Elephas maximus indicus: one gene and its partners. The protein of the gene in region 4 interacts with the protein of the main gene of each other region in a pairwise test. Links are inferred from orthologs where the notes say so. Each region holds a gene or a part of one and is shown on either strand. Other genes may lie near its edges.

What was found.
Region 1: the proteins of FSD2 (region 4) and PPP1R18 interact in binary tests that used the Homo sapiens proteins (3 or more experiments, as listed by UniProt). The two-hybrid records come from large-scale screens. The link is inferred for Elephas maximus indicus from reciprocal best matches to the Homo sapiens genes FSD2 and PPP1R18.
Region 2: the proteins of FSD2 (region 4) and SPATC1L interact in binary tests that used the Homo sapiens proteins (3 or more experiments, as listed by UniProt). The two-hybrid records come from large-scale screens. The link is inferred for Elephas maximus indicus from reciprocal best matches to the Homo sapiens genes FSD2 and SPATC1L.
Region 3: the proteins of FSD2 (region 4) and PBX3 interact in a two-hybrid assay, tested with the Homo sapiens proteins (3 studies listed by BioGRID and IntAct). The two-hybrid records come from large-scale screens. The link is inferred for Elephas maximus indicus from reciprocal best matches to the Homo sapiens genes FSD2 and PBX3.

Annotation. Positions count from the first base shown.
Region 1 is NC_064819.1:91,004,518-91,012,073, forward strand, and holds the start of PPP1R18 (phostensin), read right to left. Parts: upstream 3,087-7,556; 5' UTR 3,003-3,086; intron 1,939-3,002; 5' UTR 1,911-1,938; coding exon 297-1,910; intron 1-296. Other genes in the region: NRM (nurim), read right to left, coding at 4,544-4,825, 5,362-5,538, 6,142-6,338, 6,926-7,055.
Region 2 is NC_064820.1:231,321,340-231,328,419, forward strand, and holds the start of SPATC1L (speriolin-like protein), read right to left. Parts: upstream 3,024-7,080; coding exon 2,822-3,023; intron 1-2,821.
Region 3 is NC_064827.1:76,699,853-76,707,132, forward strand, and holds the start of PBX3 (pre-B-cell leukemia transcription factor 3), read left to right. Parts: upstream 1-4,210; 5' UTR 4,211-4,292; coding exon 4,293-4,492; intron 4,493-4,885; exon of another isoform or gene 4,886-5,151; intron 5,152-5,426; coding exon 5,427-5,500; intron 5,501-7,280. UniProt on the Homo sapiens protein: Transcriptional activator that binds the sequence 5'-ATCAATCAA-3'.
Region 4 is NC_064831.1:73,852,498-73,859,716, reverse strand, and holds the start of FSD2 (fibronectin type III and SPRY domain-containing protein 2), read right to left. Parts: upstream 3,172-7,219; coding exon 2,527-3,171; intron 2,384-2,526; coding exon 2,288-2,383; intron 1-2,287.

The DNA of each region.
Region 1 (7,556 bases), on a different chromosome or scaffold from region 4:
GGGGAGAACTCAGAGCCCTAGGGAAGGGAGAAAGCACAGCGTGGGCACACCCTGGGCACACCCTGGACAGCACACCCAGAGACAGTGCTTGATTGCTGGGCAGGCTCTGAGATGAATGGAACAGGAAGGCAGCAAGAAGAAAGGGTGTGTGTGCAGAGGGAGGAAGGGTGGTGGCAGGAATTAAAAAAGAATAGAGGGAGACAAGAATACAGGAGTATAAAAATGAACAAAAGACCGGTGCCCAGAGAGAACTGGCGAGTGGGCTCCTAAGAAGTCTGGCTTGGCTGCTCCCCTACCTGTTTGTGTTGCCTTTCCGGGGACCCCTTGACAAGGCAGCTGCGGCTGAGGCGGAGGTAGCCCCCTAGAACCAAGATCTCCTCGGCAGTCGGGTACCGCTTCTTCCCGGTCCCAAGGACTGCAGCATCAGCTGTGGAAGGGGCTGCAGGAGTGGCCGGGGTTGCAGGGGGCACAGACCGCCGGGGGTTGACTGTGAAGGTGTGTCCACTGCGGCGGGGGCCCCCCACCCCTGGCCCTGCCTTTACCCCATAGAACAGACGGCTCATGAGGGGATCCCCAGGGGGCTGGGGGACAGGTGGGGCTAGGGGTGGGGGAGACAGAGGGGCTGGTGGCGGGGGCCGGAGTTCTACTGCTTCCTCTTCCTGCTGTCGAGGGCCTCCAGTCCCAGCGTCCTCTGGTGGGAGGGGGGAGGGCACAGAGCAGCGGTTCTGCAGGATGCTCAGAGGCCTGCCCTGAGCCCCTGTCTCCTCCTCCTCAGCCTCCCCTTCTCCAGGCTCTACCCCAGGAGGCCCCAGGCGCTTCTCAGCGGACTCTGAAGGTTCTGGTTTCTGAGTTTGTGTCTCTGTGTCTCTGGGTGTCCATTCTTGAACCTTCCCGGAGTTCAGGGTCCACTTCCACCCTTCTGTCAGCCTCAAGCCCCTCTCACCGTCCTCCACTAGGCCAGGCCTCTGCTCTGCTGCCTCCACTCCTCCGGGGCTGCTGTCTCGAGCCTCCCTTGTTAGGGTCTCTGATAGCCCTGTAATCTCTTCTGGGACCATCCCTGGAATTGGCCTGTCTTCTTTTTTCCCACATTCTCCCGAGAAGTCTTTGCTTTCCTCTCCTGAGCTCGGCCTCCACTGTGATGCCTCTAGTTGTGCCGAACTCTGTTCCTGAGACTCTCCGCAGTCAGGCCTCCATTTATGGGCCTCTGTGAGGCCCAGCTGCTGGCTGCCAGACTCCCCTGGGCTCAGTCTACTTTCCACCACCTCTTTCCTCCTGGGGCTTTGTTCTTGAGGCTCTGCCAGTCTTAGACTCCTCTCTGGAGTCTCTCCAGGGCTCAGTCTCCATTTCCGTGCCTCTGACTGTCGGTAGTTCCTATCTCCCATCTCTCTTGGACTTGGCCTCCAGTCCTGAGCCTCTAAAGGTCTGGGGCTAGACTCTCGGGCTCCCCGTGTCCCCAGCATCTTCTCTCTGGCCTCCCTAGGGCTGAGCCTCTCTTCTCTTGACTCTCGTCCCTTGGGGCTCTGATCCCGAGTCTCCCCAGGGCTGGGTCTTGGCTCCCGAGCCTCAAGCAGCCCGGGCCTTCTCTCAGCAAGCAGCTCTTCACTCCGCTGCTGCTGCTGCTGCTGTCGCTCCTGCCGGATGAATCGGTTCTGGTGCACTGGTCCGATGGCCTCCAGGAGGACAGCAGACTCGTCTGCGTCTGGAGGTCCAGCCTCCGCAGTCCAGGGCACAGGGCTAGGCTCCCCAAGGGACAGCCCAAGCTTGGCCCGGCGGCGCTCCAGGAGCCCCCGCTTCCAGGCTGGCATCTGGGATAGGCGCTCTTGCTCAGCCTTCTCCCGGCCACGCATGGCTGCCTCCTCCTGCCGGCGCCGGGCTAGCAGCTGGAGCTTCCAGTCTGGGATGGTGGCCATAGTCGCCTTGGGGTGAGGCTGTGGAGTGCTGGGGGCAGAGGACAGGAAGGAGAGGCTTGTGAGAGAGGCTCAGGGGGTGAGACTGAGTGTGGGGGGAAAGGAAGTGAAGGGAGGAGGTGGGAGACAGAGAAGAGGAGCTGAGGTGAGGACAGGGGAAAAGAGGGAGAAGAGGAGGCAGAGGAAGGGAAAAGCTGGGAAAATAAAGAGAAAAGATAAGAGCCAAGTTGGTGGGGGGGGGCAGTGAGGTAAAAGGAAGAGTGCAGATTCAGGGCAAAGAGGGAGGAGTCAGATTTGGCACCACATTGTTAAGAAGTCTTACTGTCCCAAGGATGTGACAGGGAGAGAGAAGGGAGAAAAGAGAAGCTGGGGGCGAAAGAGAGAAAAGCGAAGCGGGGGGAGGGGAGGGCCGGGTTCAGGCGAGGCTGCCTCACCGCTACCCCACGGGAGCTGAGAGTGGGAAGGGAGGTCAGACAGTAGCGCTGGGGACAGGATGAAGGGACCTGGGGTGGGGGGGTCTTGGGGAAGTGAGGAGGGGTCCGAGAGGGAAGGGGTCTAGGGGAGAGGGGAAGTGAAGGGGTGGAGGGGAAAGTGAGCGCCGCGGCAGGAGGCCGGCGCGCTTCAGCGCGGCCCTAAGTCTCCTGGCTCCCCTTCCAGCGTCAATCGGCCACGCCCCTCCGGTCCCCCAGCCCCCACCTCCCTGCCCCGCACTCCGCCCCCAAGGCGGGTCAAGGGAAATACCCTCCCCCGGGACTCTCCGAACCCGGGCGTCTGGGCTGCCAGCATGTTCCCAGAACTAGGCATCCACCCCCACCCTGTCCAGCCACCACCGCCTGCCTCCCCCACTGGCTGCGCCCCGGGGCCCAGGCCTGCCGAGGATCGGCTCCACGCCTCTTCTTCCCAGAGCCTGAGAGTCCGCTGCCCCGGTCCCCCGCTCTCAGGGAACTCCCACCTAGCCGGCCGCCCCTACCCGGCTCTGACTGCACAATCTCGGCACAAAGAAGAGACAGCCCAAGGCCCGGCACTGGGAAGGGAGCAGGGACCAGAGCGAGGAGAACATCCCTCCCCAAGTCTGAAACCCCTCGGTCAACTCACGCGCCGCTGGGCCCCAGGGGAGGGGGTGCAGGAGAGCCCGGTGTCCGGAGAGAGGAAGAGGAGGAGAGAGGGAGCGAGGGAGATCCGGAGACGGGAGGGAGGGGAGAAGGAGGGATAGGAGGAGGGAAAAAGGGAGCCCAGAAGGAGGGACCTAGACAGGGACCAGGGGGCCGGGCGGGGGGCGGCAACCGCTTTGTCTGAGGACAATGGGGAGAGGGACCGGGGCGAGGGGCGGAGCCTGAAGAGGGGGCGGAGTCTCGCTACCCTAGACCCAGCCTTGGGGTTCCGCTACGGGACTCCCTTCTTCGCGTCAGAACCCCCGACAGTCTCTGCCCTGTCCCCAGAGGCCCTCATCCCTCCGCCCCCTGGCCCTTGAGTGCCTAGGTGACCAGACCCCCACTCCTAGCTCTCCGACCCAGGGCGGCGGCGGCTAGTGAGTGACTCAGGCCCCTCGAGGGACTTGAGGAGGAAGCTGCAGCTGCTTCGAGCCGGGCCCGCCCTTCCCATCTCCTGCCGCTCCTCCCCATGCCTTTGCCTTCCCCCGACAGCCTTTGTTACTGAGGGGTCGAGGGCTACTGCTGCCCCGCTGTCCGGGCCCATGCGAATGGGCCCCGGGGCGAGGGGGGAGGACGGGACAGGCGCACCAGGCCAACAGCTTTGGGAGCTCGCTCTCCAACCAGAGTAGCAGCCCCCTCTCCCATGAGTCCCCTGGTCTGCAACAGAATTGGGGTTGTGAAGGAAGGGGAACTCGGCAGCTCCGGGCAAGTGGGGGCGGGTCCGCGAGAAGTGGTCGCCCAGATCTGCGTTTGTCTCGGCCGGCTTCCCGCTCTCCTTCCTTCCCAAACCCATTCCTGCAGCCTGAGAGACACTAAAGATTGCATGCCAGATGTAGAAAAGTCAGGCTAAATTTTATTTTCCTGTAACGCGTGTACCTCGGGGAAGCAGGGAGCCCTAAGCTATCCAAAACAAGAGCGGGAGAGTCCCCTCAACGAGGCCCAGGGGAAAGTGACCAGTGGCGGGACCTAGGAAGGTGGAAAGACAGGGCGGGTGGAGAGGATAATAAGGGCTGGAGATGGAGCCTCGAGGCGTGGGCCCTGGAGGGACGCCCAGTACAGTCAAACTTGCAGACTCTGATCCAGTTCCTTGGGACTGAAGCCAGCTTTGGAGAAGGGGGATCCCTGAGCAACAGTGCCAGGGGAGTGGTCAAGGCGGATCCTTTCCCTTGTGGTGTAGGCGCTGGAAGGGGGCGCTCAAGCTCAATCCCCAAATGGTGAGGGGACAGATGAGTTCCACACCAGCCTCTTTAGGGAGAGGAGAGGGCCCTAGCTGGTGAGAAGTGGACCTTCGAGTCCAATGACTAAAACTCTGAATTTAGGGTATGGAGCTGACCTCAGGAAATGGAGTCTCAAGTAGGGGAAGGACCAGGCCCTGCAGTTCAGAGTTTGGGGCCTCTGGCCCGAAGTAGCCAGCACTTGGATGTTGACAGATTTAGAATTTGAGGGGAAGAGGAAGTACAGGGCTTGGAACCAGAAGTTAGCTCTTCATTCAGCCTCCCCATCCTGGGGACGGGATAGCAGGTGCAGTTTTCTTTGTAGCTGGGCCCGGAGGTAGCGGAGGTCATGTTGGTCCAGCCCATGAGCTAGGCCCAGGTAGAGGGTGAGGAGGAGAGCAAGGAGGAGGCGATCAGTGCCCAGGGTGGGCACCACCCACAGTATGGTCAGCAGCTCCACACACACTGGGTGGCGAAGATGGGAGAAGAGCCTCAGAGCCCGGGGGGACTTCAGGGCCAGTGGCTCCCCCAGCCCGAGAACATGGTAGTACACCTAGGACAGGGAGAACAGTGTAGAAATAGAGCCAAGACCTTTTGACAACTTAAAACGAAAAAAAAAAAAAATTACCATCGAGTCGATTCCGACTCATAGGGACCCTATAGAACAGAGTAGAACTGCCCCCATAGAGTTTCCAAGGAGCACCTGGTAGATTCGAACTGCCGACCTTTTAGTTAGCAGCACTAGCACTTAACCACTATGCCACCAGGATTTCCTTTCATAACTTGGCTTCCTCTTTTCTCTCCCAGGCACCCTCCTCCTAGAACTCAGGCCCAGGCACTCCCCTTCAGAGAGCTGGGCTCCTGACATGGCTATCTAGTCCATGCATCTTCCCCAGGCCCAGGAGGCCCATGGTTGCTAGGCTTTGAGGGAGGGCTGAGGGGAGACTGTCTGACAGGAAAGGGAGGTGAGGGAGTCACAAGCAAGGGGAAGGTGGTAGAGCACTGGAGGGGGAGGACTGAAATCCTTGGAAGGGGAAGAGGAGTTCTAGAAAGGGCTGGAGGCCCCAGGTAGGGATCTGGAAGCCTCACCTGTTTGAGGCCCATGAGCTCAGCGTAGTCAAAGACGAGAAGGATGCTGAAGATAAGGAGCCAGGAAATGATGTGGAGCACAAAGCAGAGCAGGGGCACCCAGGTGGCCCATGGCTCAGCTCGAGCCTCCCACAGCACAGGACCTCTGGGTACAGGTTCCCAGTACCTCATCACCAGCTGGGGAAGGATGAGGAGCTGAGTATCCCCGCAGCCCACCCCTGAGATACCCAGTCCCAGAGGCTGCCCCATCCAGGCTGATCTGCAGCTCTCCCCTACCCCCATCATGAGCATCCACCGCGTGGAGCGTGCTGGGTGGGGTTCCAAGAATATAAGGATGACCTGTCTCTACCCTGAGGACTTACAGAATGGGTAGGGTGATCAGACAGGTACACGAAGTAGCCAGTACCAAGCACCCAATAAGAAGACAAAGGAGCACTCACTGGGAAGCTTTCCCTTGAGGCTTAGGGGTGTGGGTTTTGAAGAACTGGTAGGACTGAGTGGAGTTAAGGAGGGGATCCCAGGCAGGGGGAAAACATGAACAAAGTTGCAAAGGTGAGAATGCACATACTGTGCTTGGCCAGTGATGAGTACACCCTTCTTGATAAAGAGTAAGATATTTGCTGTGGAGGAACAGAAGCTGAGATTAGAGTCTTGAGCATCCTCAGCTCTCCTCCTAAATCCAAATTTTATCAGAAGCCTAAACTCCATGCCCCTCCACGCCAGGGTGTCCCTCCCACAGATTCTGTCCTCCTTGAGAATATGCCTGCCAGGCCCCCATACCTGCAAGGCCAGGGCAGTGCATGCCACATACAGTGACCGCTGCAGGACCCCAAAGTACCGAGACGACCATGCCTTCACTGTCTCAGTTGCCATGAGGCTGTGCTGCCCCACAAATAGTAGCAGGAGCCCCAGATCCCATGCCAGGGAGACAAGAATGCTGCGATCCTGCAGGGCAGCCAACCATCCCTGCCGGACATCTAGGGGGAGATGAGAAACAGAGAAAAGATCAGGAAGATGGCAGGAAACACTCCTTATCCTAGGCTCTTAGAGCACCAGGCCATGTCCCTTAATGCCTCCAAGAGCCTTCATGCTTCCTCTCCAGGCTTGCCCATGTCACTTTTTCTTTCCCGTTTCTTCCTTCTTCCCCAGGCATCCTCCAGAGCTGGGAAAGAGGAGTCACAGAACAAAGAACGTTGGGCAGTCACAAAAGGCGTGGCTGGAGAGGCCACCTTGGATTCTCTCTTTCATTTCAGTTCTCCAAATGGTCCCTCTTTTAAACTCTTCTCTACAGTCCTCCCCATAAAGCCCTTTCCTTAAAATACTCTGCTTATCACCCTTCCCCTCCCCCTCAGTCCTCACTCTCTCTCCATTCTAAACCTCTTATCCCCGAGTTCCTAATTTAGCCCGCAGGTCCCCTTCCCCTGGCGCGATTCGGCGCTTCCAAGGTTCGAGTTCCCTCTCCAAGACTTCCCATCTGTCATTGGTCTCCAAGTCCCGCCCCCGCGCCCTCTTCTCCGGCTCCACCCCCCTATCCCGGAGTCATCCTCTGGTCCCTCCCGCTCACCGGGGCCAGCCTCCGAGACCCCTCCAAGAAGTGGCCGAAGGGAGGTAAAGCGCACGAATTCCACTCCGGTGCCAAAGGCTAGAATGAAAGAGGCGAGGGCAGCAGGAACCAAGAGAAGCGCAGGGGCCATGGCGAGAAGCTGAGGGGCGAGGAAAGGGGGCGGCCCCGGGATTCCCGCGGCAGCTGGCCCCGCCCCGGCCCCGCCTGGGGTCCCACCCAGAGGGCGGGGCACCCGCGCACCGCCTCCCGGGCTTCCGGCCCGCCCGGCTGCGCTTGCCCAGCAGGTGGCCGCGCCGGCGCTTGGGTCCCTTTTTCGATCCTGCGATCTTGGCGTCACAGAAGGGAATGTTAGAATTTCATGTGAGCTGTTTAAAGGGCAGCGGCTCGGCAGCCACTGTCGTGGGTTGAATCTCAGCTCTTGCTAACAATTTCTCTCTTGTAGGGTTCTTAAGGAAATGGAACCTTGTAAACCCCGTTTTCTTTAATTTAGCCTTGACTAAAAAACATAACCAGAATGAGAGCTAACAAGCCTCAGCAGTTTAATAGTGAACGGTGAGAGAACGGGAAGATTGTTGACGCAGACTGTCTGAGAACCCAAAGCTCTGAATCACATATTACATCTTGTTAGACT
Region 2 (7,080 bases), on a different chromosome or scaffold from region 4:
TTGGCTTTGGCCCCAGAAACCCACGTTCACAGAGGTGTGTATATGACGCTGCTCACTGAAACTTGATCATGGAAAGCTGGCAGCCTTCCCACTGTGGGTACACCAAATGGGATGTGGAATCCCCACATGGAAGAGTCTGTGCTCTAAACACTGGTGTAAGATGGGACGATCCATGGAGGAGGATGATGGAGAATGGGGCTGAGATGGATGGTTAAGGGGGTGAAGAGAAAATTGCAGAAAAATACAATCCCACTTAGGTAAACCAAAAGGCTAGGCAGAACTGTGCATGAATATCCATCAAGAATTTCAGACAGAAACCTGAGAAATGTTGACAGCAGCTGCCTTTGGGGCACAGGATCAGGTGGCAAAGATGGAGCCTCGAATTCTATCTAAATCCTTATGTGGCGTTAAACTTTACCGTGAGCACATATTGTATAATTAAGAAAAATGGGTTCAAAAACACGTGTCTTCTGAACAAGGAGTGAAGGGATTCCGGGAAACAAAACAAGCTTTGCTGTGTCGAAGTCTTCCGTGTGTGAACTTCTGCCATCTGTGAAACAGCTCAGTGTTTGTTTCCAAACTGGAATCCCCAAGGCCGAGGCTGCACTCCTTCCAGGAAGACCCTCTCATGGGGGCAGAAGGCAAAGGTCAAGACCAACCCTAAGGGCAATGCCCAGAGCCTGGACTGCCCTGAGCTCGTGCATCTGGCCTGGACACCAAGGGCCCCCACAGTGCTGCCCATTGAAGCAGCAGAGGTTAGGGGCAGCCTGCCATGGGCCCCCCTGCCCAACCAGCCTGCCAAGTGTCCCAAGCTGGGGTCTCAGTGGGGACTTGGGGAAGGAGAACAAAGGAAGGGGGTCATCTCAGGCCCACACTGCCCTGGCTGTATGTGTGGGTGTGGAGCAGACATGACCACACCTGTAACTACAAGCACCATCAGCGAGGTCAGAGAAGGACCAGGGAATAGGAGAAAGAAAGAGACCCTCCCCTAAGCTTGACGCCCAAGTTCACATCACAGCAGGAAAACCCCCTGGGACAGTGGCTACCACAGCAGCAGTACCCAGGATCTGGCCAACACCCTGGGCCAGAGATCCCCAACGCGTCCTGAAGCTGCAGGAAAACCCAGGAAAGACGGCTGAGCATGAAGGCAACAAGCACTGAGGAGGCAGGGCCTGGCTTGAGGGGGCTGATCAGGCCACGTGGTTGGGGCTTGGGGTGAGGAGGCACCAAGAGGTCCTCACCCTGGCCAGGACTGAGGTGCAGCTCCTCACTAAGGTCTTCCAGGGGATGGCCTGCCCAAGTGAGAGCCTCGACCCTCTCCCAACGCCGCCCACCTCTGAGTGCTCCCCAGAACCGCTGCCCGTGCTGACCCATGGTGGCTCTGTGCCCTGAGCTTAGGCCTGGTGGGTTGAGTCCCTGGAACACAGGACACATGAGGCGGCACACATCACATGGCTCTTGGCAGTTGTCACAGCATTGACCACAGACATGGAAGCAAAGTGCCTCTGTGGACACAACAACTGAGCAGTGGCCTGGGACTGATAGCCTGACATGCAGGGGGTCACCACATGAGGCCTTATGGGTGCAGAACACATGGGTGCAGGCTGGTGGCTCAGGGAAAACCAGCTCTCCAGCCATTCTTGGCCATGGCTGATCTCTGAGTCCCTTTCCTCTTCCCACCCATCTCTTCCAAGGGTCCCTCTCAGCCTATCTTCCCTCCTCAAGGATCCCTCAAGAATAAAGGTTTCAGGACCCTGCGATGGGTCCCTTGGACTGGGACATGCATGATCACAGCTTTTCCCCCATGTACTCCGTTGGGGCCAGCAGACAGGACACAGGGCCCGCCTCTTGCATGCAAACCCTGTTGGGGTGTACACTGTGCCCAAGGCAGAGCTAGGTATTCAAACAGGGTCCCGCAGCCACGCCTGGGATCCTTCACACCAGTGAGCTGCTGTCCAGGGCTCCAAGCCCCTCACCGAGGAATCAGTAGCCACTTCAGGAAGTCTCAAGAGAGGAAAAACATTTCACGCCTGGTGGAACAACTGAAGCTCCAAGACAGCAGGGCTCACAGGGCAGCCTTGAGGCCACCTGCCCTGTCATCCTGGAATGACAGGGCACCTGCGTGGCCACCTGCCCCCTCACTGAGGTTTGGACAAGCTGATGTGTTCCTCTGTTTCTGTCCAGCCAGCGAGCGTGAGCAGTTTCCACTTCCAGCAGGAAGCTGAGCTCTCTGGTCACCAGACTCCCTCAGGCAGTGCTGGCCAAGGATCCCGTCCACTGCCCACCATCTGAGTCACTCAAACACCAACATCATGCACCATCCACCATGCCACAAACTATACTTCCCATGTACATAAGGAATTGATTTATAAAAACAGAGCAAACTACTTCCCTATAGGAGGTCTAGAATGTTGAATTGATACTAACCACGTGGTAAACCAAGTCACTCTCCCTCTGTCTGTGACTGTAGGTCCTCCCACCATGGGCGACACTTCCTGCATGCTGCAGGGTGTGGACTGACAAGATGGGAACAGAGGCTCCCAGAGCTTGTGGGTTTGGCCACCCTCATGTCATTTGCCGGGGCTGGTCCACACTCCTGGAGAAGAAGGAGCGCAGCCTAGCACACCATCCAGCCAAGAGGAGCCCAGCCAAGCCCAGCCCAGTGGTCCTGGAGAGCTATGAGAACCTGTGTGTCCTGTGTAAGCCACTGGCAACCCTTCCGTGGCAGTTGCTGACTGGCACCCCTACCCATCTTCTAGGGTGGACTCAGTGGCCAGATTGGAGAGGGAGGCAGCCTCCCATGACCTTCTCGAGGTCTTACCTGCACCCCCAGGAGAGCAGGCCTCAGGGTAGCTGGGAGCCCTGGGGAGGAGGAGCTCACGGGCTGCACGGCCACCACTCTCCTGGCAGCTCTCACTGAGCAGCCTCTTCAGCATCTGGTTCTCCTTCAGGAGCCGCACCTGTTTCTTGAGGTCAGCATTCTCGCTCATGAGCCTGTTCATCAGCTCACTCCCCTCAGCCATGGCCACTTTTGCCTCCGCAGTCACATGCGGGCCTACGACCCCATGGGGATGGAGATCCAATCGTGGACACCCCACGGACAGCCAAGGTCGCTGAGTTCCAGGATGGCCAAGGCATTCCGCAGCCTTGTGATGTCACCACCCTTAAAGAAGCAGCTGCCTGCCAGCACCTCCTGCTGCCCAGGCTGCATCCTGTCACCTGCAGAGTCCTGACAGGCAAACCCAGCCCAGCCAGCTCAGGGACACCCCAGAGAAGACACTGGCTTTCTAGCGCCCATTCCAACATTTTATTTCTTTCTTAAATATTTGCTAGATTTCACTAGTGAAGCCATCTGGGCCTGGAGTTTCCTTCTGGGAAACTTTTTAAAAAATTTCTGATTCAATTTCTAAAATAGATATGAGACTACTCATATATTGTATTTCCTATCATGTCCATTTTGATAGCAATTGTGTCTTTCAAAGAATTTTTCCATTTCATCTAAGTTATGGAATATTGGCCTAAAGTAGTTAATAATATTCTCTTATTATCTGCATTTGTTTGTGGGATCTGTAGTGATGCATCCTTTTCATTCTTGATACAGGTCACTTGTGTTTTCTCTCTTTTTTACTTGATCAGACCAGGCTAATTTTTTCAAAGATTAATTTTTGGTTTTATTGATTCTATCACATTTGATTTCTGCTCTTATATTAACTATTTCCTCCTTCTACTTACTTTGGGTTGTAAGTTTTTTAAGGTGGAAGCTTAGATCATTGATTTTTAAACCTCTCTTATTTATTGCCTTAACTTTTAAGCCTACAAACATTTCTGTAAGTACTGCTTTAGCTACATCCCACAAATTTCTATGTTTTCATTTTCATTCAGCTTGAAATATTTTCTAATTTCCCTTGTGCTTTCTTCTTTGATCATGGGTTATTTGGAAGTGTGTTAATCTTCAAATATTTTTTGAATTTTCCAAACCTTTTTGTTACTGATTTCTCCTTGAGTTGTGTTGTGGTTAGAGAATGTACTCTGTGTGGCTTCAATCCTTTTAAATTTCTTGAGACTTGTCCATGATCCAGCATATGGTCTAACTTAGTAAATGTTTTACATGCACTTCCAAAGGATGTGTACTTCACCATTGTTGGGCGGAGAGCTCTATAAATGCCAGTCAGGTGAAGGTGGGTGATAATGTAGTTCAAACCTGCATCTTTACTAATTTTCTATCATTTACTGAGAGACAAGTGTTGAAATCTCCCACTATTATTGTGGATTTGTCTAATTCTGCCAGTGTCTTAGTTTCCTAGGGCTATTGTTAAATACCACAAACTGGGAAAATTTTGAGAACAGAAATTTACTGTCTCACAGGTTGGGAAGCTCAAAGTCCAAATCAGGATATTAGCCATATTGATTCCTTCTGAGGGCTCTGAGGGAGAAGCTGTTCCATGCCTCCTTCCCAGCTTCTGGAAGCGCCTGGCAATCTTCGGCATTCCTTCTCTTTCAGTTGCATCTACCTCCACAGTCACATGGCCATCTTCTGCTGTCTCTCTGTGTAGCTTCTCCTTTTTCATGAGGACGCTACTCATATTGCAAGCAAAATCTGGGCAATAGAAAAAGAATTGACACATTTGAACTGTGGTGTTGGAAATATGATGGTTAAGGTTGTGCATTAACCTGGCTGGGCGGTAATTCTCAGTGGTTTGGCAGTTATATAATGATGTGGCTTAGCAGTTGTGTAATGATGTAGTTATCCTTCATTTTGTGATACAATGTAATCACCTCCACAATGTGATCAGCCAATCAGTTGTAAGGGGAGTTTCCTCAGGGGTGTGGCCTGCATCCATTATATATGGTCATTCTGCCAAGCTCGCTGGCTTTTGTTTGCTCTGGATCTTGTATCTGGCTCATCATCATCTGACCTCTGGTCTCAGGACTTGAGCCAGTGGCCTACTGTATTGCCTGCTGATCTTGGATTCGTGAGCCTCTGCAACCAGCGAGCCAACAGCCTACTGTCTGACGACCGATCCTGGGTTCATCAGCCCCTGCAGCTATATGAGTCAGTAAAAGCCTCCAGCCTGATGCCTGACCCAAAGAAGGATTTGGGACTTGACAACCTCTACAACCACATGAGCCATTTTCTTGAGATAAATCTCTCTCTCTTTATAAATATATATATATGTATATATATATTTCACTGCTTTTGCTTCTCTTGAGAACCCAGCCTAAGACATTTGGCACCAAGAGTGGTTCTACAGAAACAAAATCGTAAGGATGAGTTTTCTAAATTGGTTCTCAAATCTGGTTAGTCTTAAAGTTGTTGATGATTCTGCTTCCAGTACTAAAGAGGGCGCTGTGAATTTATGGCATAAGGTGGCAATAGAAATACACAAAATATCCCCACCAAAGATCAAGTATTGGTGAGAGACAAGACTTGGGGTGATTATATGTTTGATACTTTTCTACAATTTTGTCAGAATGAAAAGTATAAGGGAGATGGTTGGTCGGCCCTCCTTTTGCCAGAAAAAGTGGTGAAAGAAACAAACTCAGGGCTTCAGAGTCACAACTCAAGTGCCACATAAATGACCTCAAAGTTACCACTTGCCTTGAAAGAAAGCCTTGTTTCTTCTAGTAACAGAGCTGATACCGCCAAAACCCAAACCGAGAGTCTTATCATAAAAAAAAAAAAAAAAAAGAGTGGGTGAATTACAATGCCAGTAGAATTCCCAACCTCAAATGGTGTCTGAAGCTAAAGCGGGGCATTGATTGGGAAGAAATGGGATCCTGAAACTTGGTATGGGAACACACAGTCACATAGTCAGGAACCCGGGGACACTGAGTGCCTAAATTCCATGGAATTACTCCTGCCAATAGAACCAGCCCTTTCACTCACATCTGAAGAAATCACTCCATCTTTGTCAGCTAAATGACCTTCCCCAGTAAAACTATTAGCCCTTCCATCCCAACTTGATGAGATTAACCCAGCTGTGTCTGAAGAGCCTTTGTTTGAGATATCACCTGGGGCTGCATCCAAGTCATCACCTGGGGAGGCATCTGGGGCATTGCCCAGGGCATCGCCTAAAGCAGATGCCTTATAAAAAAAAAAAATTTTTTTTTTTTTTTGCCTTATAAGACATTGCTAAATGTTCTCAGAACACTCCCCACCCTCTATTTTTGCTTCTAGACCTATAACTAGACTTAAGTCCCAGTGAGCCCCAAAAGATGAAGTACAAAGTGACCCAGGAATAGGTATGGTACACTTCAAAAGAACTGCTTGACTTTGCTAATATGTACAAACAGAAACCTGGGGAATATGTGCAGGAATGGCTATTAAGGCTGTGGGATAATGGTGCAAGGAACATGAAGTTGGATCAGTCTGAGTTTATTGATATGGGCACGCTAAGCACAGATTCATCATTCTATGTTTCAGTTCAAGAGGTTAGGAAAGGATCTGTTTATTTGGTTGGTTCACTGAAGCATGGATTACGTGTTGGGCTACACTAATCAAGTTGAAGTACCAGGTCTGCCTTGGTATACTGTAGAAGAAGGTATCTGAAGACTTAGGGAAATTAGCATGTTAGAGTACATTTATCTGGTTAGCCCAGCAGACCCACACATTTGTACCCAGAAAACACACTTTTTACCACAATGGTGAGGAACAAATTTGTGAAGGGAGTCCCAGCATCCTTGAAGACTGCTGTGATAGCTATTTTTTTAAGTCTGATTTGACAGTGGGAACTGCCCTAAGTGAATTAAGATGCTACAATGGGGCTGATTGGATCCTGTGGTGGTAGAGGCCAAGTGGTGGCACTCAATCAACAAAGACAAGGTGGGTGTGGTTACCATAATAGCCAGCGAGGTTCAAGCAGTAATCAGAATAGTCTGACTAGTATAGACTTAAGGCATTTGCTACTTAGTCATGGTGTCTCTAGGAGCAAAATAGATGGGAAATCTAAGTATTTACTTGATCTGTACAAGCAGAAGAATTCTAGGTCAAGTGAACAGCAGTCTAACTCAAATCACCAGAATAGAGAGTCACAGCCCCTCAATCAATTCCAAGGCTTGAGCCGGTTTACAGACCCACAG
Region 3 (7,280 bases), on a different chromosome or scaffold from region 4:
AGTTGGCAAAAAACATATAATGTGTGTGTTTTTTGTATAAAAATATGATAACTCTAGGATGGCTAAGTTCTTTTTCTTTTAAAAACAACAGCCACCACCACCAAATCAGTCATGTTATGGTCACATCTCAAAAAATACCTTGCTGTTAATATACTTAGGAACTAGGTTAGAAAACTAACAGGGAAATTGAGAGCAAACAACACAGGACTATCTAGTCTGGTGGTCAAGTATGTGTTACAGGAAACATGTTCTGAGAGTTTAGTGCAGATGAAGATCAGTGAAGGCAGGAAAGGCATGCAAACTTCAGAGAGGTGGGATCCTAGGTAGCCATGAAGGATGGCCTGGCTGGGCTTTGTTCTTTATTTCCCTCCTCTGCTGCAGTGAGTCCTGGATTCCTTAAATAGAGATGTTTATCCCCCCCTTTTTTTTTTTTAATTAAGCGCCAAGTTACTTATTTTCGCTAATTTACCGTAGTTCACCTACTAAGTCTTGTGGTCTTTATTTAGTAATCTTGATTAATTTTTTTTTTTTTTGCCATTGTTTTAGAGGGTGATCTTTGCAGCCACACGTATCAAGATTTGAATGTAAGCTCCGATACTTACTGGCTTTGTGGTCTTGTGCAAGTTCCTTACTCTACTCTGGTCCTGCTTCCTTATATCATAATGATCCCACTTAACCCGCGTTGTTTGAAACTGAAATAAGATGAAGTAAGAGAAACAAGTCACGGTGTCCTATCCCAAGAAAGTGCTCAATTTGCTGTTATGATTGCCACATGATGAGAGATGATGATGTTAATATAAACACATGGAATGATCTGGATATGAGGAAGCCCTGACTTGGGTTTCATTGCTTTGTCACTGTTAAATGTATATGCATGTACACTCACCAAAAGTAAATGGCATTTTCCTTGACTTTATAACAATCACTGCCTTAGAAATAGTAAAGACGGATCCAGGTACTTAGGAAGGTTCTATTCTATTATCTGTGAAGGCACCAACCATGTGACTCAGATTCCTGAGTGGAGGCAAAGCAGCATCCTACATGAGAAACTGGCAAATGCTCAAGAGATCTTGGAGGATCTGCAATTAGTTCACACTGTTTATTGGGGCTTGGACACCAATGTAAAAGAATTTATGCTTTAAGTCAATGGCAGTTGTCAATGAGCCTGTGAGGGAATCCTTGCTTGGATCCTCTGGCTTTTACCGCAACTCATATTGATAATAACAAAAAGAGAAGCCTCCCAAGCAAAAGGTCAATCTAATCCAATCAGTTAATGCAGAATTATGGCACCAAGTTTCCACATCACTGAGTGACCACGAGTATAGAGGTGTGTACCATAAAATAGCTGTGGGTGTTAGACATTTAACAAGTTGCTTTATTCCTAATTGCTGGCATTTGCTTAACTGTTTTCTTAATTCTAATTTATGTTTTATGTTCCAGTTTGTTTACATAGCCCATAGTTCCCAATTGCCTCTATTTGCTTAAATGTTTCTTTAATTTTATTTACAATTTTATATATGTTGCTTTGCTTACATAACTCATTGTTTGGAGTGGGCTAGAAATAACCATAAATCCACATTGCTAATTAGACTCATCCTCATGACTGATTAGTCAAGATTATGAGCCTAGAAGGAGGGCAGGGGAGGAGGCCTGATAGTGATCACAGGATCATTGAATTTTAGAGCGGGAAGGAATCTTAAGAGTTTAAAGCATCTTTTAGATAGAATTCTATGGTTTTACGTCTTCAACGTTGGAGAATTACAAAAGGTTGCTGCTTGCTCTTGCCCCTTTATGCAAAAATGAGTAATGATTTGAAAAACAAGCTTTGAAAAACAAGTTGAGAATAAAGAGAAAACCCAATCAATGATGACTATGAGTCACCCATAATGGGCGGCTTGAAAGTAGAATTGATATAAACTTGATATATAAATGAGGTATAGAGGAGTAGGGAATATTAATGAATGTGAGGGAGATCTTCTTCCAAGGTAAGTAAGCAGAGTGGATTGTTTGGAATTCCCTTCTCAGCAGCTGTGCAGTTTGCAAGGATTTTAGCTTGCTTAACTGTAAGGTTAGCTATTAGCTTTGCAGTAGGGAGTATTTAAAAGTACACACAACATATGAAGGAAAGAACCTGGAACTGAGTAGCCTGCTTCATTCCAAGAATCCATCTGGCATTTAAAGAACTGCTTGTCCTACATTAAACCCTGCAGAGTAAGAGCCATTTTTCATATCTTCATACCCCTATTTTTGGTTTCAGGTAAGATAGCTTACTGAGCTTGGGAACGGAACAAGGAGACTTTTCAAAATCTTCTAGCTAGGGTGGGATCCATGAATCCAACATGGAGAAAACAGATGTTGAAGCCTCTGTTTGGAAATCAGGTTAAGAGCAAGCTTAAGTGTCCACAAGACGTGGAAGTCCAGATCCCAAAACAATGTGATGCTTTTAGTCACTTGTAGACCGAGTACAATGGAATAATAGGTCGTATAAAAAAAACCGCAGTGCCGCGTCGTATAGATATGAAAATCTGGGGCTGCAGTCACCAATATTAAATGACTCATGCTGATGGGGAAAGTTGACAAGAGAATCCAGTCTATCCCCATACTTGTCCTTGGTACAAAGGGCCCGCTTGTACATCTGGAGGCAGCTAAAAGCAAACGCTGCCAAAGGAGTAGTCCCTGAATTACTAGGAGTTGCAGAGTGTCTAAAGAGTTGTAGGTCTTGAAATAAGCCCTGGACTTCAAGCTCTTTCCTAACTCCCAGACCCGCTGCCCTTTGATATGGTCTCATATGCTCCTCTTTAAAGGAAAAGAGTATGGCATTCAGACTGGACCAGTTCAGATGCCAAGCCTCCGTGAGGCAAGTTTTCCATTTAACTGGTCGCCCCTTGAAGGACAGTGCAAGGCCCACGCATGCCACCACCTTGCAGCGCCCTCTCAGTTACTATGGTGATGGCAGAAGGGGCGGGGCCACCATCTCTCCCCTGCCTCCGCCCAGGAGATTTCGAACACTCCAATTGGGACAGGTCTCTCCTGCCTCTGACCCGCCCCATTCTGCTTCAAGCGCGATGCGATTGGCCCGGACAGGCTCCGGGTACTCTGAGGGTACCACCTCCTGACAGGAAAAGCGGGAAAAGTGTACCAGGCGCTGTCCGAGGCGTGAAGCTCACAGGCGCTGAGGGGAAGAACTTGGTTGGCTTTGGAGCAAGTTGTTCCATGTTCCACAAATGACCCCCCCGCACTTCAGACTGATAACAGTATGGAGCTGGAGCCGGGGCGCGGGCACAACGTTTGAGAGCAGGGGTCGATGAGGGGGCGAGAACGCGACGCGGATGTTAGGATTCCGCGGCGCGCCCTCCAGCGCTGGGGATCAGAGGCCAGAGGGGGCGGTGCCAGAGGCATCGGCGGGAGGCTCAAGGTCCAATGAGCGCGCGCCCCGCCCCCAGGGGCGGGGCGTGAGGATGAGCGCCCCCGCCCTCCTCGCTCACCCCCACCCCTCCCCCCGGGCGCCGGGGCCGCAGTGAGTGAGTGGCACTGGCAGCCTGTCAATCCCTCAGCCGAGCGGCCTTCGAGCCCGGTCCGCGGCGGCTGCTGGCTGGGTGCGCGGCTCCGGCTGTGGCGGCGGCGACTTCTCCCGCCTCATCAATCTGCTGCTGGTCCGGCGCGCGGCCCGCCGGGGCCCTCCATCGGGCTCCGCGCCCCCTCTGCGCCAGCCCGCCAGCTCCCAAACTTTCCTCCTCCGCCCCCCTCGCTCCCCTCGGCCAGCCCGCCGGCCTCCTCCGCCGCCGCCGCTCCCTTCCCCGGGGCCGCCGGGGCTCGGATCCCGCCCGGCCGAGGTGGCGGAGGCGGCGGCGGCGGCTGAGGGCGGGGAGTGCGCAGGCTGGCGCGGGGGCCGGCGGGCGTCCCGGCAACTCGGCCGGCGCTGAGGAGCAAGTTGCGCGGGGCCGCCCGGCGGGGCGCGCGGCGGCGAGGAGGCGGCGCGGCGGCCGTGTGAGGGCAGCGGACGCCGCTGCCTCCACCTCCGCCACCGCCGCGGAGCCCGGCGCTTCCGCCCGCCGCTTTTCTCCAGCCTCGGCGGCGGCGGAAGCCAGAGCCGGGCGCCCGTCCGCGCCGCCTCAGCCGCGGGCCCCGCCGGCCGGGCCGCCCCCTCCCCGCGCGGGCGGGGAGCGCGCGGCCGCCTCCCCCTCCCCCTCCCCTTCTTTCTTCTCCTCCCTCGTCGTCGCTGCCGCCGCCGCCGCCGCCTCAGCCTTCGCCTCAGCCGCCGCCGCCGCCCGCTCCCGCCCGCGCGCGGCGGGATGGACGATCAATCCAGGATGCTGCAGACTCTGGCCGGGGTGAACCTGGCCGGGCACTCGGTGCAGGGGGGCATGGCCCTGCCACCTCCCCCGCACGGTCACGAAGGGGCGGACGGCGACGGCAGGAAGCAGGACATCGGCGACATCCTTCACCAGATCATGACCATCACCGACCAGAGCCTGGACGAGGCGCAAGCAAAGTTGGTGTCGTCTCATTAAGCATCTTTTGTGTGTGCGCGGGAGCCAGGCCCGCGGCCGAGTCGGGGCCGGGGTGGCGCCGGGGGCACGGGCCTGAGCCCCCGGCGGGGAACTTTCTCCGAATACCGGCCGCCCGCCCTGGCCTTGGGGACTTGCCCGCGCCCCTCGACGCAGGCGGGAGTCGGGAAAGTTGCACTTGAGGTGTGGGACGGCCCCGGTGCCGCGCAGCGTTTCTGCTGTACTTTCCTGCCGTGTCCGGCCCTCTGGCAGCCCGGCCCCCTCCCACAGGTTTAAACCTCCCGCCAGGACCCCAGTGCACGCTGCCCCGAGAGGGGCCGCGGCCGCGCTTCACGGAAGTGCAACTTTCTCCCCCGGCCCAGAGTCCCGGCGCCGGAGCTCCCCTTGGCCACCGGACGACCTCGCTGTGCCGGCGCTGCCCCAGCCCCGGCGCTGGGCGCTGGGCGCCTCCCCGGCGGGGTGGGGTGCCGGCGGCCAAGTTTTCGGGGAAGGGAGGGCCGCTCCGCAAACTTTGTGGAGCTGTCACCCGTTCGCTCTCGGCATTCGGCCGGCAGGTCGGCGCGGCGGCCGCTCCCCCTGCGGAGGGCGGGCGCGGGAGCCTCTCGGCGGCCGTCCTCACCCCCGGGTCGCTGTCGCTGCCCCGGTATCAAGGCTCCCCGCGCGGGTTTGCGCCCTGCGGTTACCGAGGCTGCTGCCTGCCCGGCAGATGGGTCGCGCTTCGTTCTGGCTGGAGCTTTCGCCGGAGCTTCCCGGCTGTCGCTAACTAGTCAACTTGAGTTTCTGTAGACTTCCCATCGTTCTAAAGAGCCTTCCAAAATAGGGGACCGGAATTAAATCTTGGGTCTAACTTAAAGGAAGGCGCCATATTATTCCATAGGTGATGCTAATACCTTTGTGTTTTGCTGTTTTGTTTTTTAGGAAACACGCTCTGAACTGTCACAGAATGAAACCCGCGCTCTTCAGCGTCCTGTGTGAGATCAAAGAGAAAACAGGTAAGGCGCTGCGCCCCTGCTGTGGTCTTGGAGACCCCCGAGGTGAGGTCGGAGCTACTCCTTCCACTCTCCAGTTGAGAGCTGCTGCTTTTGGGCACCGCCATCTTTGATCATTCTCTCCTTCCCACCTCCAGATCTTAAGAAAAAACTGCAATAAATCTGGAGTCGATTTCTCAATTTCGCTTCTGGTGTAAAATGAAGTGTAGATGCGTACCGGTCGCCGTTCCCAGGCGGCCGCCCCTGGCTGCAGGCGGGGAGGGGTCCTGAGCGCCAGCAGCCCTCTCCCGCTCCTTTCGCCTTGTTTGTGTGTCAGTTTTTAAAAGGAGCAACGGGAGACTGGATGCCAGGGACCGAGTCCCTGGGAGAAGCATCGTCGGAACTTTGTTCTACTTAGTCTTAAGCTTCACCTCCACAGATAGAAGAATGGATGCAATTGAACAGACCCCAAATAGCATGTTTGAATTAGTGTTTTAGGTGGGAAGAATACTTTTAAGAAGTGAGGAAGGATAACAGTGTGTCTAGGCATATACATTGTGTTGCATCGGTTATACTTTTATTAAATTTTACGATTGAAGTTATTGTATTTGTGCAGGTACTTAATATATATTATAAAGTAGAAAAATGTCCGCGGGTACAGGTTAAACAATTTTCCAAATGTTCAAGGCAGGGGATAGATGAGAAAACAGGTTTTGCAGAAGTGCTGGAATGAAAAACTACAAGTACAAACTAGGCAAATTTTTTTTGGCAGTTCACTTCAATTTAATTTTCTTGTTAGACTTTCTTAATCTGAATATATTTTAATCTTGCGGTGGTAGTACCAGCTCGAATGGAGGAAGAGATTTAATTTAGATTTTTGGTATGTGTTTGGCATTATATAGCAAATACGTGCACTAAATAAGCTTTACTGTTGAATTAATTTCTCTGTGTGTGTTGGATATACAGTATTTTAAAAGTTGCCATATTTTAAGTTGAGCCAAAGAAGAGAAAGTTAAAGTCCAGGATATAGTAATATCCAAGTGATGCTATTTAAAATATGATTGTGTTTAAATTAAGTGTACATATAATAGCACAATGCGTATAATTGTTAGGTTGATAGGCGAGCTGCTCTCCTTTTAAACAGATTTTTTACTCCATAATACTGTTCTGATACAGTAATCAAGAAAAAATGATGAGTTATTGCTGTTAAAATATATGCTATAACCATAATAGCATATACTAAGAGAGCCTAAAGAATATTTTTCTTGCTTTTTATTCACATAGTGTGTGTGATTTCTTAAGATCGAGTGATTCTTTTAAAAGGTATTTTACATTTTGAAAACCAAGGGCATTTTAAATTATTAGTTTTTTTAGGGTTGATTTTTAATTATCTTGCATTGTGATTTAAAACAGATAATTTTTACCTGACTATAAAATAAGATAAAGAAAAAAAAGATATCAAGCATTAAATCTTGAGGATTCTTAGTTTAGAAGCCTAAATGTGTGTAATTTTCTGTAAATTATGTTGCTTAATGTCCAAGGGTTTTCTTGCTATCAGGGCTCCACTTCAGTTTCTGCTGACAGTTAAGCACTGGGGTATTGACTATGTTGTGAATATTAAGATTGATTCAACTTTATACAGCGTTATGGTACTAGGGAGAGGGGATTGATACTCCTGCTCCATTCTTGTGATTTATATTTAGTTTTTTGCCTTTTTTAAGTTTTGGCCTAGCCAGCTTGGGAACCACACTTCAGCAAACTGCTTTTCTTGTTTAGACATTTAGCAGCAGGCTGAGTTCAATTA
Region 4 (7,219 bases):
TATCAGTGAAGAGTCAGCCTGCCATCAGAAATGTTTGTCCTATCTTTTTTCTGAGCCCTTGACATCTCATGTTGCTCACCTCTGTTCCCTGATGCTTGGATCATACAAACACCAGGATCACACAGACCCTCATCAACCAGGGAAGAGATAAAGGCAAAAGGGAATAAGGGTCATTGCCAGGTGGGTCTACCTAATAGATGAGAAAATGCAGGATGGCTGAGGAAGGGTTGTGACAATACTTAATCCTGGAGCACAGTGGGTGAGAAATATTAATTAGAGCATCCTGACTCCCTATTACTCAGCTTGGAAGCCCAGGAAAGCACTGTAGGTTCTGACTGATATCATCCTCATCAAATGACAAGGGCATTTCCAAAGAAGGGAGTTGTATCAATCATTCAAGGAGTATTTACTGAGCACCTGTTATATGCATAAGACCTGATAGAATGGTGGAAAAGAGGGAAAAGCAATAGATGACCTTCCATTGTTGAAAATGAAAGGATGACCTCAGAGTCCTTCCTGATGGTGAAGACACTTTACTCCAATCTGTGATCTGACAGAGCAGAGTGTAAGGAGTTTTGTCCTTGGAGGGGAAAGGGCTGTGCCTTCTCTGTGCCTTCCACAGTGTAATAGCTCTCTCCCTTTTAGTATCAGGGGTAACAAAGATCTAGATTCCTGGAAAAGGGTCCTGGGGCTTAGTTAATCTATGTGAGGTGCTTCTGTTGATACAATCTGAGGCTACATTAATAGAAGTACAGCATCACAGGAAAGGAGTGGAAAGGGGAGTCCTATGGCTCTCAGCCCTGCTCTTTTTCATCTGGAAGGCTAGACTGAGTTCTGGTATCATAGTGGTATGTGACATACTTCCTAAGACATACCCGGGAACTCTGACATGTTTGGTGACAGGCACAGAAACTTATTAATTTTATGAAAAATAAGTAACACTTATCAAAGACAGGATGGGTGTCTTGCAATGCTTTGTCCAAGCTGGTCCATGAAAAAGGGACTCATCTTGTTCTGTGTCACTCCAGGGACTCAAATAATGACCAGTGGGCATAAGTGACAGAGCAGCAGCTTCTGTTTCAGTAGTTAAGTTTTGAAACTTTGTCCCTTGACTCAAGAGCTCACATTCTTCCCCATGTTAGGGTTGCAATGGAGAGGGGCCTTCAAAGGATGGGAATTCTGACCCTAGATTCTTAAATTTCTTACTGATCTCTCAGGGAAGTCTGGAAATTCCTAAATAGGCAAAGACAACATGTAAACTTATCTTTTAAAGTCCATACACAGCTAAAAATATGTTTGTGTTTGAGTGGCATTAACAGGCAGAATTGGGTACATTGGCTATTAAAACAACTGAAAACTGCTTGATGGTCCACACATAACTTCATGTAGTGAATACTGCAAGTATCTCCAACAGCCTAGAATTAACCCTGAGAACAGGGAAACTACATGGAACCCCAATATCTCCAGCTACACAAGCCGGTAGCATCAAATAGCATCCAAGGGGTTCTCTCAGTGATTGAGATATTAGCACAAAAAAAAATGAGATAAAAGAAAGCCATTTGCCTCTTTACTGCCTAAGTTCAAATGAGGGGCTTCTGCTTGATAACGCCATCTTAAAATCATCTTTGTTAGAATAGGGGTCTAAGCCACGTGCAATTGGTGATTTGCGTGTAAGGAGCATGAGGAGAAAGATGCTAATGAAGGTGAAGGATCGTGATTGGAAAATTTCAGCATTATCCATTCAACAAACATATAAAATGCCTATCCTGAAACATACTCTGTAGTAGGACTAGGGATATAAAGACAAAGAAGACCCAGCCTCCAACTTCTGAGAGTTCGTAGTTCAGTAGGGAATATAAACAGGTAATTTGTTCCATGAGGTATATGCCCAAAGTGCTATGGGAGGCCAGAAGAAGGGGTGTGGGTATGGGGCAGTCAGGAAAGGCTCCCCACCGGTGATACCTCATGTTCTAAGAAAATAGATTCTCTAACATATAACAAAGGAGCCCTGCTGGAGCAATGGTTAAGCACTTGACTGCTAACTGAAAGGTTGGCAGTTCAAAACCACTCACTGGCTCCAGGGAAGAAAGAACTGGTGATCTGGTTCTGTAAAGATCACAGCCAAGAAAACCCCATGGGGCAGTTTTACTCAGTCACACGGGGTCACCATGAGTCAAAAATTGACTTGATGGCACCTAACAACAACAACCTATAACAGAAATAGCTGTCGACTCAGCCAATGATGGCAGCAACGTGTGGATGACAAGGTAATTAAGCATACTCTTACCTCCACAGTGATGAAAACCTCCTCCAAATGACTTGCAAAATTTTCCATCTCAATAATCTGCCTTTCCAATTTGAACATGTTTTTGTGAATTTCATCCTATCAAACAGAGGATCACAAGAAGTCTTTAATTCGATGTTTTTTCTCTCTTTTTTATAGAAAGTGTATTAAATTTATCCCCTGATGATATAATTGAGATACAAATGTATTATCAAGAGGAAGAACTAAGGAGGCCTATTTACCTTGGCGTTTTCCAGTGCTTTATCGAGTGGAGTCACCTCATGTCCCTTGTGTTCATCCAAAACCTTCTCACAAGCTCTTATTGGAGTTTTGCAAGTGACACAAAAGATGTCGGGAGCTTCTTCCTCATCCTCCTCCTCTGGGATGACATAGCATTCATACTCCTCACTGGACCGGCCACGTGTGTACCTATAGGCTTCCCTCAAGTCCTGGCACTGGCCTCTCGAGCCCCACCCTCCAAAGCTCAGGTCCTCGGCCTCGGTTGCCTCTCCACCAAATCGCCAGTCTCTCTGCTCCCTCGCTGACTCTCTCCTCTTCATCACGTAAGGAGGGTATTCTGAAACACCCGCCCTGAGTGTGTTTTCACCAACAAACTCATCTCCTAACTCGTGATCATCTTCAAGTCCATATAAATGAGCAAGTTCATCCACCTCCTCTTGAAGATCTCTTTGAGCCCTACCTTTTGCTGCTGCTCTTGGCTCCTTGGTCATTTCAGCTTGAACTACTTCTCTTCTCATTCTAGTGTTTCCTTCTGGGAAGATCTGCAATCTGTCTTCAGAGTCATACAGATCCATGTGATAAAATTGGAAGTCCCTGGGAGCAGTGGACCAATCCAGACCAGGTTTCTCCCCAGGTTCCTCCTCCATTGTAGTTCTGGAAGCCCTGGGCAGCACCTTTGCACAAGAGGGATCTTTCCTAGACAGTTAATAGTGAATATCCTGGGTCCGAGAATACAAAAAGAGAAATAAAAATGAGCTTCTGAGAAGGTCATTGCAGTAGGTGGTCATTACACTAAGTTCTACTCATTCGCAATTTTTAAATGTTATTTGAGCAGCTCAGTTGTGGCTTGGCTTTGAACTCTCTGTAAAGCAAGGTCTGCACTCTACAGGAGGATGGGCTGTACAAGTTTTAAAAAGGCAAAAAACGTTACAAAAGAAAATCACATTTGACTAACAAAAGGCTTCTGTATATAAAAATAACTCAAAAGGCAAAATAATGGGAGGAGTCCCTGGCAATTATTATTAAACAAATTGTACAAATTAATTGTAAAAATTTAAGACCTCAGTAGGTTACTGTGCAAGGACAATTCACAAAAGAATTGCTTTCATGTATAATATTAACTGTAAGGAGCCCTGGTTGCACAATGGTTAAGCACCTGGCTGGTAACTAAAAGGCTGACGGTTTGAACCTACCCAGAGGCTCCATAGGAGAAAGACTTGGTAATCTGCTCCCATACAGATTACAGCCAAGAAAATATATGGTGCAGTTCTACTCTGTACATTGGGTCGATATGAGTCGAAATCAACTCAACAGCACCTAACCACGACATAATGTTAACTGTGCACAAACATTTGGAAAACTTTCATTCTTATAAGTAACAAAGATAAAATGCCATTTTGCCATTCCAGTCAACACATACTTAAAGATAGAAAAATTATACCCAAGGCTGGTTAAGTGAAGTGAACACTCTCATATGTTGCTGGTTGGAATGTAAACTGGCCATACCTTTCTGGAGAGCAAAGCTGGTAACCTGCATCAGGAACCTTAACAGTTTTCACACTCTTTAATTTAGTAATTGTCTTCTGGGACGTTAAAGAAATAATCTCAAATACCGGAAGAAAAATTATTTCTACATAAAAATGTCCACCACAAGAATTTTTATAAAAGGTAAAAATACAAAAAAGAAAAAGAAAAATTAATGATTAGGAGAATGGCTAAGTAAACTAGGATATGAACACTATAGAATACAATGCAGCCTTTAAAGTATTTATGGAGTGCGCGTAATAACTTGGAAAAAGACTTACATTGTGATGTTAAGTAAAGCAAACAGAATACTTATTACATGTAGAATGTGATGTTCACTGTTTTAATGGAGGTATATAAAATCTAAGCAGAAATACTCAGAACAATAATATTAACCCATAATCCATTGCTGTCAAGTCAATTCTGACTCATAGGACAGAGTATAACTGCCCCATAGGGTTTCCAAGGAGTGGCTGGTAGATTCGAACTGCTGACTTTTTGGTTAGCAGCCGAGTTCTTAACCTCTGTGCCACCAGGTCTCCATACAATAGTACTAGTGGTGGTAAATACAATAATAGTAGTAGTAAACCCCATTGCCATCAAGTCCATTCTGACTGACAGCGACCCTGTAGGACAGAGTAGAACCACCCCATAGGGCTCCCAAGGCTATAAATCTTTACAGAAGCAGACCACCACATCTTTCTCTTGTGGAGCGGCTGCTGGGTCCAAACCACCGACCTTTCAGTTAACAGTCACGTGCTTTAACAACCGTGCCATCAGGCTTCCTTTGTATTATATTAGTAGTAGCTACCACTTACTGGTTAGGCATTGGTGCTTCAGTGGGAGAACGCGCACCTCCCATACCAATGCACCTCATGCGAGTGGAGGCTTGTGTGTTAGTATATGCCAAACAGGTTTCACCGGAGCTTCCAGACTAAGACGAACGAGGAAAAAAGGTCTGGTGATCCACTTCCAAAAATAAGCCAATGAAAACCTTATGGGTCACAACAAAACACTGTCCAATCTACAACGGATCCTGGCAGAGGGCTAGGCAGCATTTTGTTCAGTCATGCATAGGGTCGCCTTGAGTCACGGCCAAGTTGACAGCAGCTAACAACTACTTACTGAGCACTTAAAAAACCCACTGCCCTCGAGTCCATTCCGACTCCTAGCAATCCTATAGGACAGAATAGAACTGCCTCATAGGATTTCCAGGCTGTAAATCTTTACAAAAGCTGACTGGCACATCTTTCTCCTGCAGAGCAGCTGGTGGATTCGAACAGCCAGCCTTTTGGTTAGCAGCCCAGGGCTTTAACCACTGCACCACCAGGGCTCCACTGAGCACTTCCTGCCTGCTTTTTCTGCGCTAAGCAGTTTATATGCATTATTCTTGCTACTCTTATCCCCATTTTTTCAGATGAGGAAAATGAGACTCAGAGAGGGTATCTTGTGCAAGATCACATGATTAGTAAATTGCTGAACTGGGATTTGAACCTCAGTCTGACATCCAAGTACAGGGAGCACAACTGACCAAGGGTTTCAGCTGCACTCTGTAATCCATTGCCGCATATGCACAAAGGACGTGCTCCCCATAGGCTACTCCCATCCAGTGACAAAGTACAGGTGGGATACTAAGATCCATTCCTGGTTGGTACTAAACTCCTTTTATGTCCAATTTTGGCTTCTCAAACCTTCTGTAGCTCCATGACAGCCTAGGATGCTTCTGCCCAACCTTCTCTCCCTCTCTCTTTTATTCAAGGTCAGACTTGCATCATAGTCTGGTGGCTCTCCCAGCCTTTCTCATCTCTCTCTCTCTATTTTATGTCACACTGGTATTTCCCCTTAGAGAATTTGTGCATGTGTAATCTAGCTTGATGTCTGCTTCTTGAAGGACCTGGATTAACACAGTCTGTTGAACTCCAAAGACCTCGCTCTCTTCCTGGCACAGAACTGCCACTGTCTTATATTATTTATTTTTTTTGTAACAGCTTTATTGAGATATAATTCATATATCATACAGTTCAAGTGTGGAACTCAACATTTTTTAGCATATTAACAGTATATTAACCATCACTACAGTCAATGTTAGAACATTTTTATCACCTTGAAAAGAAGTCCTGCATTAGCTGTTACCTCCCTTCCCCTACCTTCAGCTCTAGGCAACCACTAATCTACTTTGGGTCTCTATAGATTTGCCTCTTTTGTACATTTCATATAGATGGAATCATATAATATGTGGTCTTTTGTGACTGGTTTCTTTCATTTAGCATAATATTTTCAAGATATATTCATGTTGTAGCTTGTATCAATCCTTCATTTCTTTTTGTGGCTGAATAACAGTAACCGACCTTATGGATAGACCACATTTTGTTTACCCATTCATCAGTTGATGGAAATTTGGGTTATTTTTACCTTTTGGTTATTGTGAATAATGCTACTTCAAACATTTGCATATAAGTTTGTTTTTATTTCCCTTGGGCCTATACCCAGCAGTGGAATCACCGGATAAAAAAATGACTCTAGGTTTAACTTTTTGAGGAACTTCCTGACATTTTCCAAACAGGCTGCACCATTTAACGTTTCCCACCAGCAGTGTATGAGGGTTCCAGTTTCTTCACATCCTAAGTCCACCCTTGTTATTATCTGACTTTTTGATTATAGCCATCTTAGTGGGTATGATGTGGTGTCTCACTGTGGTTTTGATTTGCATTTCCCTGATAACTAATGATGTTGAACATCTTTTCATGTGTTTATTGGATATTTGTATACCTTCTTTAAAGAGATGTCTCTTCAAGACCTTTGCCCAGTTTTAAAATTAGGTTGTCGTTTTATTATTAGCTCTAGAGTTCTTTATATACTCTGGATATATGTGGTTTGAAAACATCAGACATGTGATTTGAAAATATTTCCTCCCATTCTGTGGATTGTCTTATCAGCCTCTATGAGTCAGAACTGACTCCACGGCAATGGGTTTTTTAATGTCTTTTTAAAACAACAGAAACCCTGCTGGCATAGTGGTTAAGTACTATCTACGGCTGCTAACCAAAGGGTCGGCAGTCTGAATCCGCCAGGTGCTCCTAGGAAACTCTATGGGGCAGTTCTACTCTGTCCTCTAGGGTTGCTAAGAGTCGGAATCGACTCGACGGCACTGGGTTTGGTTTTTTTGTTTTT